Drosophila melanogaster: one gene and its partner. The protein of the gene in region 1 interacts with the protein of each later gene in a pairwise test. Each region holds a gene or a part of one and is shown in the gene's direction. Other genes may lie near its edges.

Region 1 (3,381 bases):
AAACTGGTGGTCCGGCATACATAAATCCCTCAAAGGATTGGTCCACGAACGGACGACGTAAGTCAGGCGATGGGATCATTGAAATCCATCCAGTGGCTGTCAGTTAGCTGGTCACTGCTACTGGGGATTCTCACTCACCTTGGATACGTTAATGATTTGATTGCCCATTGACAGGCCAAATCCCCACGTCCCCGCAACTCCCATTCACCACTTCAATCAATGACAGACGGCTCGTTAAACTTCTTCTGCGGGTGCGTTCGTTCAATTAGCCCATGTCGTAAAGTACAAATAACTATTGCGTACAAGTTCCACGGAACTTGGATGGCAACTCTGGCTCTGGCTCTGGGCCCGGCCATAATCATTAAGCCCGCCGACTGGTAGCCGGCAATTTAAATTAAACAATCGTCAATGACGGCGACAAGAGTGAAAAACTAAAGTAAAGCAGGCAGTAATCAGTCGGTTTCTCAGTTCGCCAGTCAGTCAGTCAGTCAGTCCGTCCGGCAGTCATTCAGTCATTCAGTCGAGCAGTTTAGTCAATCCGTCAGTGCATCAGTCACTCACACGACGATTGCTACTTGGGCTGATAATAAGCGTCGCGCCGGCGCAATAAATGTGTGCCGACAGATAAATGTGTGCCCTCATCTGGTTGTTGCTTCTGTATATTTACGGCCAAGTGGTTGTCTGTGTGGAGTATCTGTGTCTCGCTGGCTTTCCGTGTATCCGTGCCTGTAATCGTAACCATATAAGCGTCTTAAATGGCAGGTGTGCACATCGCGTGGGAAACACACGACGCGTCTCGAGCGGTTCTCACGATATGAAAATCGAGCAAAACAAACGGAAAGACCCCTCAAGACCCTAACAACGGTGACAGCCACTTTCTCGGGATTCGAATTGGATCTGGGATGGGGATTGGGGTTAGCGTTAAGGGTTGTCAGTAAAGTGTGCATGGGGATCGGGCGAGCATTGGGTCAGGATTTATGGGGCAGCGATGATGGTGAAGGGACCCTAAAAAACCATGACTAGGACATATATCTAAGTGCTTGTTTGTAATGAATTGGATTTTATAATTACTTGCATGAGCAGATGACGAATCCCTAAAATTTTATGTACTTTGTATCCACCTATTTGATTCCTTATTGAGGTATAAGTGTTTGCTATCCATGATTACATCAACCTCTAACATCCCATATTTAGTTTTGAAACTGGCTAAAGGATCTAAACGATCCTCCTTCTTTCCTTTCAGCGATCCAAAGATCAGTAAGCCACAACAAGACAATTACAATTTTACCGAGTTTGATTTTCATTTGCTGGCCCAAACCGAATCAGTTTGTCGCAGACAATTGGGCCCAATTCTGAGCACCACGTTCCCACGTCTTGGCCAGCATTTTACGGTTTAATTGCAGTTACAATGCGTCGCCAGGACCCACACTCCTTGGCTAGACAATTGAAAGGAATAAAACACACAAAGGGAGCCAAGAAAAGCAGCCTGAAAACTCAGTCTTTGCACAACGATTTCCTTGGTTTCCTTTCCCACGCACGCACAGCATAGCAATAAGATTTCGAGATCTTTACGGTGTTCGCAGGTAGCAGGTCCTCCAGCAAGGACCTTCTCCACACTGCTGCTGCTGCGGCTGCTGCGGGTATAAAAGCCGGTGCAGTCGAGGAATCCAGCATCATTCGAGCAGCATCCTGCAAGCAGTTCAGATCAGCTCAGCACATTTCTACAAATCTTCCAAAACAAAAAACACATTACAAAATGGCACCACAGAGCAACAACAGCACCACATTCGTCTCCAAGACCCAGCACTATTTGAAGGTGAAGAAGCCCCTTTTGGAGCGCCAGCGTCGGGCCCGCATGAACAAGTGTTTGGACACCTTGAAGACCTTGGTGGCCGAGTTCCAGGGCGATGATGCCATCCTGCGAATGGACAAGGCCGAGATGCTGGAGGCGGCACTCGTCTTCATGCGCAAACAGGTCGTCAAGCAGCAGGCGCCGGTCTCCCCACTTCCCATGGATAGCTTCAAGAATGGCTACATGAACGCCGTCAGCGAGATCTCCCGTGTGATGGCCTGCACTCCAGCCATGAGTGTGGATGTGGGCAAGACAGTGATGACCCATCTGGGCGTCGAGTTCCAGCGCATGCTGCAGGCCGATCAGGTCCAGACTTCTGTTACAACCTCCACCCCACGCCCACTCAGCCCCGCCTCCTCGGGATACCACAGCGATAACGAGGACTCTCAATCCGCCGCCAGCCCCAAGCCAGTCGAAGAAACCATGTGGCGCCCTTGGTAAATCACCATCACCATCATCATCGACATCGAATCCAGTCTTCCAGCTGAAGAATCTTCTTCAGCATCGACATTGAATCCTGTCTTCCACCAGCAACTTCTGCTGCAACGAATCATGTCTTCCAATTGAATCGTTAACAATGTGATAACAGCTTTACCTAGATCATAAGCACACCTCAAGCTTTATTAGTTTATTAAGGAATTTATTTTAAGAGAACAACACAACAGCTTTAATAGTTATAAAATACAAAACACACAAAAACCTTAATACTTTGGTCTATTTATTTACTTAAATTAACAAAAATCATAGGCCAAAATTCTAATTGGCTTTGTGATTTTCGGCTTGCAGATATCTCATTAATCTAATATGATTTATTTGTTACAAATCTTAAACAAGGAGAAAATATTGAATCAAATCCAAAAATATCATCATGATCATGGATGATCAAGACGAGTGTTGTAGATTTTGCTTAGATTTTAGATTAGTAAAATAAACTTTGCAGAACATTCAAGTAATTGTAATTCTGAAGAGACAATGTCAAGTGAAAGTAATCCCTCTCTGTGTAGATATAAGATTGTCAAGAATATTGTTCTGCTTCTTTGAAAAATAATTACCCTTGTTGAGCAATTCATTAGAATAATTCCACAGTTTTTGTGTAAAAGACACACATTAAGCAGTACCTCCCCCGCCTGATGATCGATCTAAACAAGATCCGTGCTTGACAACCCAGCTGCGACCTCCTCGACGAAGAGTTGAACTCCCCCGGGTCCAAGTAGGAGGTCCTCTGGCCATAAACCCAGTCAAACCCCTAGCCAAGCGACGCCCCCGAGGACCGGAGACAAAAAAAGACACAGACCTGTCTACGCCTCGATCAACAGCTTAACACTGTGGTGTTGCACGTGTTGCAAAGTGTTGTCGAATCTGCATACCCCTCGAGCCCCTGGACAGGGCTCACATATCGTTTTGGGACTTTTTTCTCTCGTGTTTGTCAGCCAGGGGAGGTTCCGGGCCCATCGAGTTAAACCGTCAATTACGACCGCTTTTGTGCCCTGCACGTGCGTGCTGAGTGATGGGCGGGGATCGAGGAACGG
Region 2 (4,884 bases), on another chromosome or scaffold:
TCGGTTTTTATTTGGACTGTAACGCCGCCCGAGGGCCTTTAAAAAAGGACTCTCATCGAGTCCAGGACAACACTCAATGGAAAAAGCAAACGCATCCGCACTTCAATTAACTGCCTAATTGATGTGCATTGTGGCTCTAAAAAACCAAATTAGCTACACGCGGCGGAGAAGCTTTGTAACATGGATGACGACGACGGCGACACGTGGCTGCTGGTGTGAATTTAAGTGGCATATATGGGATAGATTTTCTTCTCATGTAAGAAACATTGTTAGTAGTACTTAGCTCTTATAAAGATATTGATACAAACTACCATTAATATTCTGTTTAAAACTTCAATATAAATATATTTATATATATTTATATATATAAATATATTTATATATATATAAATATATTTTATAAGTTACGAAAACACTCATTGTACTGATCATACAAGAAAACTGATTAAAAAATAAATAAATAAGTATACCATTAAGTATTTGTTTATTTATATAAAACTATCTTGGTTTTGAAATCTATAAGGAAATTAATCAAACATCAGCTCTACTTAGTACATTTTTCATAACATACTTAGCTACCTTATAAAGCACTATTAAAGAAAAAATTGATGGTGTCACAATTACTGAAGCAAGGTTTATATTTTTTCAACAAAAGCACTCAATTCATTTCCATTAGGAGGAACTGCCTGAAATGTGGCATATTACTAAATTAGCCCCCTCGACACTCAAGTTCTCACTCGTGCTGGTAATTTGCGGCAATTGCCGCATATCATAACAAATCCGCACGTGGCACCCGTCGCCCACTTGAAATTGCAACTCCGATCCTCCTTTAACAGGATTGCCACAGATAGGAATCCCACATCGGCACACTTTGCCACTTGAGCAGCCGTTAAGACCGCGGCACGTGGCAACGCCTGGGTTTTCTACCAGGAGGATGGAGTCCTGTGGGAGTGAGAGCTTTCCGTTGAATACACATGTTGCTTTTGGTAAGTGGAGGCGGCATCCTGGCCACGTGCCACTAACCCGTTTAGCGACAGGCGTAAGCCCTAAACGATTATTGCGGTTTAGTTGCGAAAGGCGAAAGAGTTGATGGTAATTGAATCTTTTGAATTGCAATCGCATTATTTCGATGTGGCGATAAAACAAAATAACAATTTATTTAGTCCACGAAGCACACATACTCTATATATGTAGGAAAGGGTAAGAAATCTTTTAGTACGGAAATGGATTAAATCTCGTCCGAAAATTATACCTACACCGAAAATATAACAAAGTCGTAATGATCCGAAGATATCATATTAAACAAAAGTATTCCCTATTTCAAATAATTTTTGGATTTATCCTTAAACTAAGTGATTTTTACAAAATATATAATAATATAATATTTCTTCTTTTAATTTAACTATAATATAAAGCATATCTTAAATTGACCAACAATACTACTCATTCATTAATATAAATATAATTAAGTTTAAGCTGTGCAGTAAGCACATTGTATTTAAATAACCCTAGAGGAAGGGTATGACTATAGAGACGAGCTTTGATGATGCCGTTGGCGACACCGCTGATCCTCGGACGCAGACATCCTTCCGATTGGCCTAGAGAGCACCGCTCGCAGCGAAGCGTGAAAAATGCTCGTATTTTGACTGGTAGCGGCGGCCCGCAGAACGAATCTCCATCTCCAGGAAGTTCACCCCGCTGCAGGCAGTTCTAGCTAGACGACGTTGGTGTGTGAGTTGGCAAAAGCCACCCCCGGGCGGCAATCACGGCGCATATCTGTTGGGATTTGTGTCGGGGTTCTGTGCTCTCTACTTTGCGCTATGGCGCCGCCACGACCGACGACAATGCGCCGAGGGTTGATGCCTGTTAGTCCGGACCCAAATCAGCGGGCTTAATGGCTGGCCGGGCACATAAAACCGGTGCGCACTCCTCGCCAGCTTTTAGTTGGTGCGGGCACGCGAGACGCGAAGAAACAACTCTCTCAAAGCGGAAATCGTAAATCGGAAATGTGCTAAAGGATATACACACCGTGATACAGATACGAGATCATGGCCGCCTGCTACAATGCCTATAGCGCTGGATCACAGTCCTTCGAGTTCGACGAGGACGACGACGACGCCTCCTTCGACAGTGGCTACGAGAAGAGTTTCGAGACGGAGGCCCAGTTGAGCTCACGACGCCGCTTGGACTTTGGCACTCCGCCGACTCCGGCGATCCCGCAACCGTACTCCGGCGGCACCTGGGACGCCGTACCGCTCAGCTCACCGCCGGCGGGCTTCGTGGGATTGCTCGATACGAGCAGCAATCACAGCACTCGGAGCGGCAGGACACTGGTCGAACATCTGAACAGTCGGGCCACGAATGGCGTCTTCGATCCGCCATTGACCAGTACGCCGGTGAAGTCGCCAGAGGATCCCAATGCGCCGCGACCGAAACGCAAATATGCCGTCGGCAAGAACAGAGTAACTCGCTCGCGCAGTCCAACCCAAGTGGTGAAGATCAAGCGTTTCCGCCGCATGAAGGCCAATGACCGGGAGCGGAATCGGATGCATAACTTGAATGATGCCCTGGAGAAACTACGCGTCACTCTGCCCTCGCTTCCCGAGGAGACGAAGCTGACGAAGATCGAGATTCTGCGATTTGCGCACAACTACATCTTTGCCCTGGAGCAGGTGCTGGAAAGCGGAGGTTCAATCAACCTGGATCTGGAGAAGCTGCAGAACTTCACGCTGAGTGGTGAGAGGATTACCAAGGAGCTCTTCGATGCTCTTTTCGTGAATCCACAGCCGTATCCCTTGTTCGGACGAATGTTCCCCTATGGACAGGGAATGGCGCCTCTTGCACAGCACCAGACTGCTCCAGCATCGCACGCGGAGCAGCCGCCGGCGATGGGTGGCTTTCAGCACGGCATGGACTATCCGCAGCAGCCACCAGGATTCGACTTTACAGGCAGCATGCGGTTTTACCACCAACAGCAACAGCAGCCGCATCAGCCTCACCATCTGCAGCCTAATCCCCAGCAGGAGTCCAGCCCGCAGCAGTTCTCGCAGGAGAAATACGATCTGTTCAGGGGATCCTTCGATGCAGCTGCCAATCTTCATTCTACGAACTTGGATTCTGGGATTCACCAGCAGAGCAGCTTCTACTCGCAAACACCGCCATGGAAGGACTATCCGGAGGATCAGGCACACGTGCATCCCGTTCCACATCAACACAGCTACAAAAACTTCGCCCCGCAGGTGTAGCACAGTTTTGTGGGCCAAACTACGATCTTAGGGTTTTCAGCGTGATATACTAAAAGATTGCCGGAAATTGCAGGAAACTGATCAAGGGGAATTCCTCTAAGCGATTTGCCCTTGACTTACTTTAAAAACATAACTAAAGTAACTTATGGGTCCTATCTCGGGATTTCCCTTCCTTACTTTTCTCAACTTTCCTGCAATCCGTTGATATTGGTAATAAGCGAGGCACCTAATTGACTGCTAAGATTATCATCAAGTTTGAAAATGAAATATCTTTAAAAATTGTATATTTCACACTTGCGCTAATCTTTGAACTCAATTAGTTTCATGTTATAGAGGGATCCTCAATAGATTAACCAATTTAAAGTCAAACATCCAAAGTTAAGCTTCACGAACTCATTATTAATTCATATGAATTCCCATTATATTTGTATTCATTGGCTTCCTTCTTGCGGATCTCTGGTGAATATTTGAATTAAAAGTGCTTAGGGTAATCAATTTTCCAAAAAGCACTCTTCTTCTCAACATATTCGCATTCTTCTTGACTATATAGTACAAATCGGTTGTCCATTTAGTGTAAGCGATACGTACCTTGCCATTCTAGATTTAAGACCTATCTATAAGGATTCTTAAAATGAACCAGGTATTAGCCATAATTAACTGTACAATCGATTAAGTGTATGTAGGTTATGCCAGATTCTATATCAGTTATTGCAATGCAAGGAAAGCGAGCTAGTCAGGGCCAGAACTTTAAGGTGATAAGATTGAATTTCGATGTAAAACCATAAAGATTTATTTTTGCAAATAAAGTTGACGATCAAAACGAGCCAGAAAATGGTTTTGCGAGTGGGAAGAATGGACGAACTCCTGGACAAAGTCAAAAATAGTAGCCAAAGCAAACAACCCTGGAATCAGTGTACCGCTGTGTGCGGATTTCAGGTCCCAAACAAAGGACTTAAATTCAAATAAATATTGTATATTGCAGGGCACATAAAACGAATGGCTTTGTGTGTGTGCACTGCAGCTTGTTCTTATCGTAGGGGGCACTTTTCGCCCTTACAATTCGACATGGGGTGAGTTCAAGTAGAAACCGAACTCGAACTCCCGGCTCGGCCTTCATAGCTCGAACAATGGAAGATTGCCGTCACCTGCCACACAATTACAAAACGAATGTACCAACAGCAGCAGTCAGGACCAAACAGGGAATCCTGAAACATGAGCTGTGAGCCAGTGGACCTGCATGAATGCCACTCAAATTATTTAGTTGAATGAACCGAACCGGCAAGAGTCGAGGGAAATGCTTTACTGCTTTACTGCCTAACTGGGTAACAACTGACTGACTGACGTTTTCCGTTACGAGAAAAGGGTAAAAAGGTGGTAAAGATGCTGGAAAGCCGGTGAGGAATTCGCAATCTCAACTGAAGATTACAATAAGACAGTCTTATCCGTTAATAGAGCTGTCATACTGCAAAGCCTTACATTCAAAGGTTTTAAAGTTTTAAAAAAAGGCGTAGGTTTGCCTAATGCAACGTAAATTGAATATTGGGAAAGCAGGATATCTTTATCAGCAACTTGTATGATTTAATTTCAAATATCAACTACTAACCACCACTTTTAACAAAAAGATTTAAAATTACATATT

What was found.
Region 2: the proteins of E(spl)m5-HLH (region 1) and tap interact in a two-hybrid assay, tested with the Drosophila melanogaster proteins (one large-scale study listed by BioGRID).

What each region holds. Positions count from the first base shown.
Region 1 is NT_033777.3:26,028,028-26,031,408, reverse strand, and holds E(spl)m5-HLH (enhancer of split m5, helix-loop-helix), read left to right. Parts: upstream 1-1,673; 5' UTR 1,674-1,756; coding exon 1,757-2,293; 3' UTR 2,294-2,555; downstream 2,556-3,381. UniProt on the Drosophila melanogaster protein: Participates in the control of cell fate choice by uncommitted neuroectodermal cells in the embryo. Transcriptional repressor. Binds DNA on N-box motifs: 5'-CACNAG-3'.
Region 2 is NT_037436.4:17,357,745-17,362,628, forward strand, and holds tap (target of poxn), read left to right. Parts: upstream 1-1,937; 5' UTR 1,938-2,048; coding exon 2,049-3,245; 3' UTR 3,246-4,067; downstream 4,068-4,884. UniProt on the Drosophila melanogaster protein: May play a role in the specification of the sugar-sensitive adult gustatory neuron and affect the response to sugar and salt. Regulated by POXN.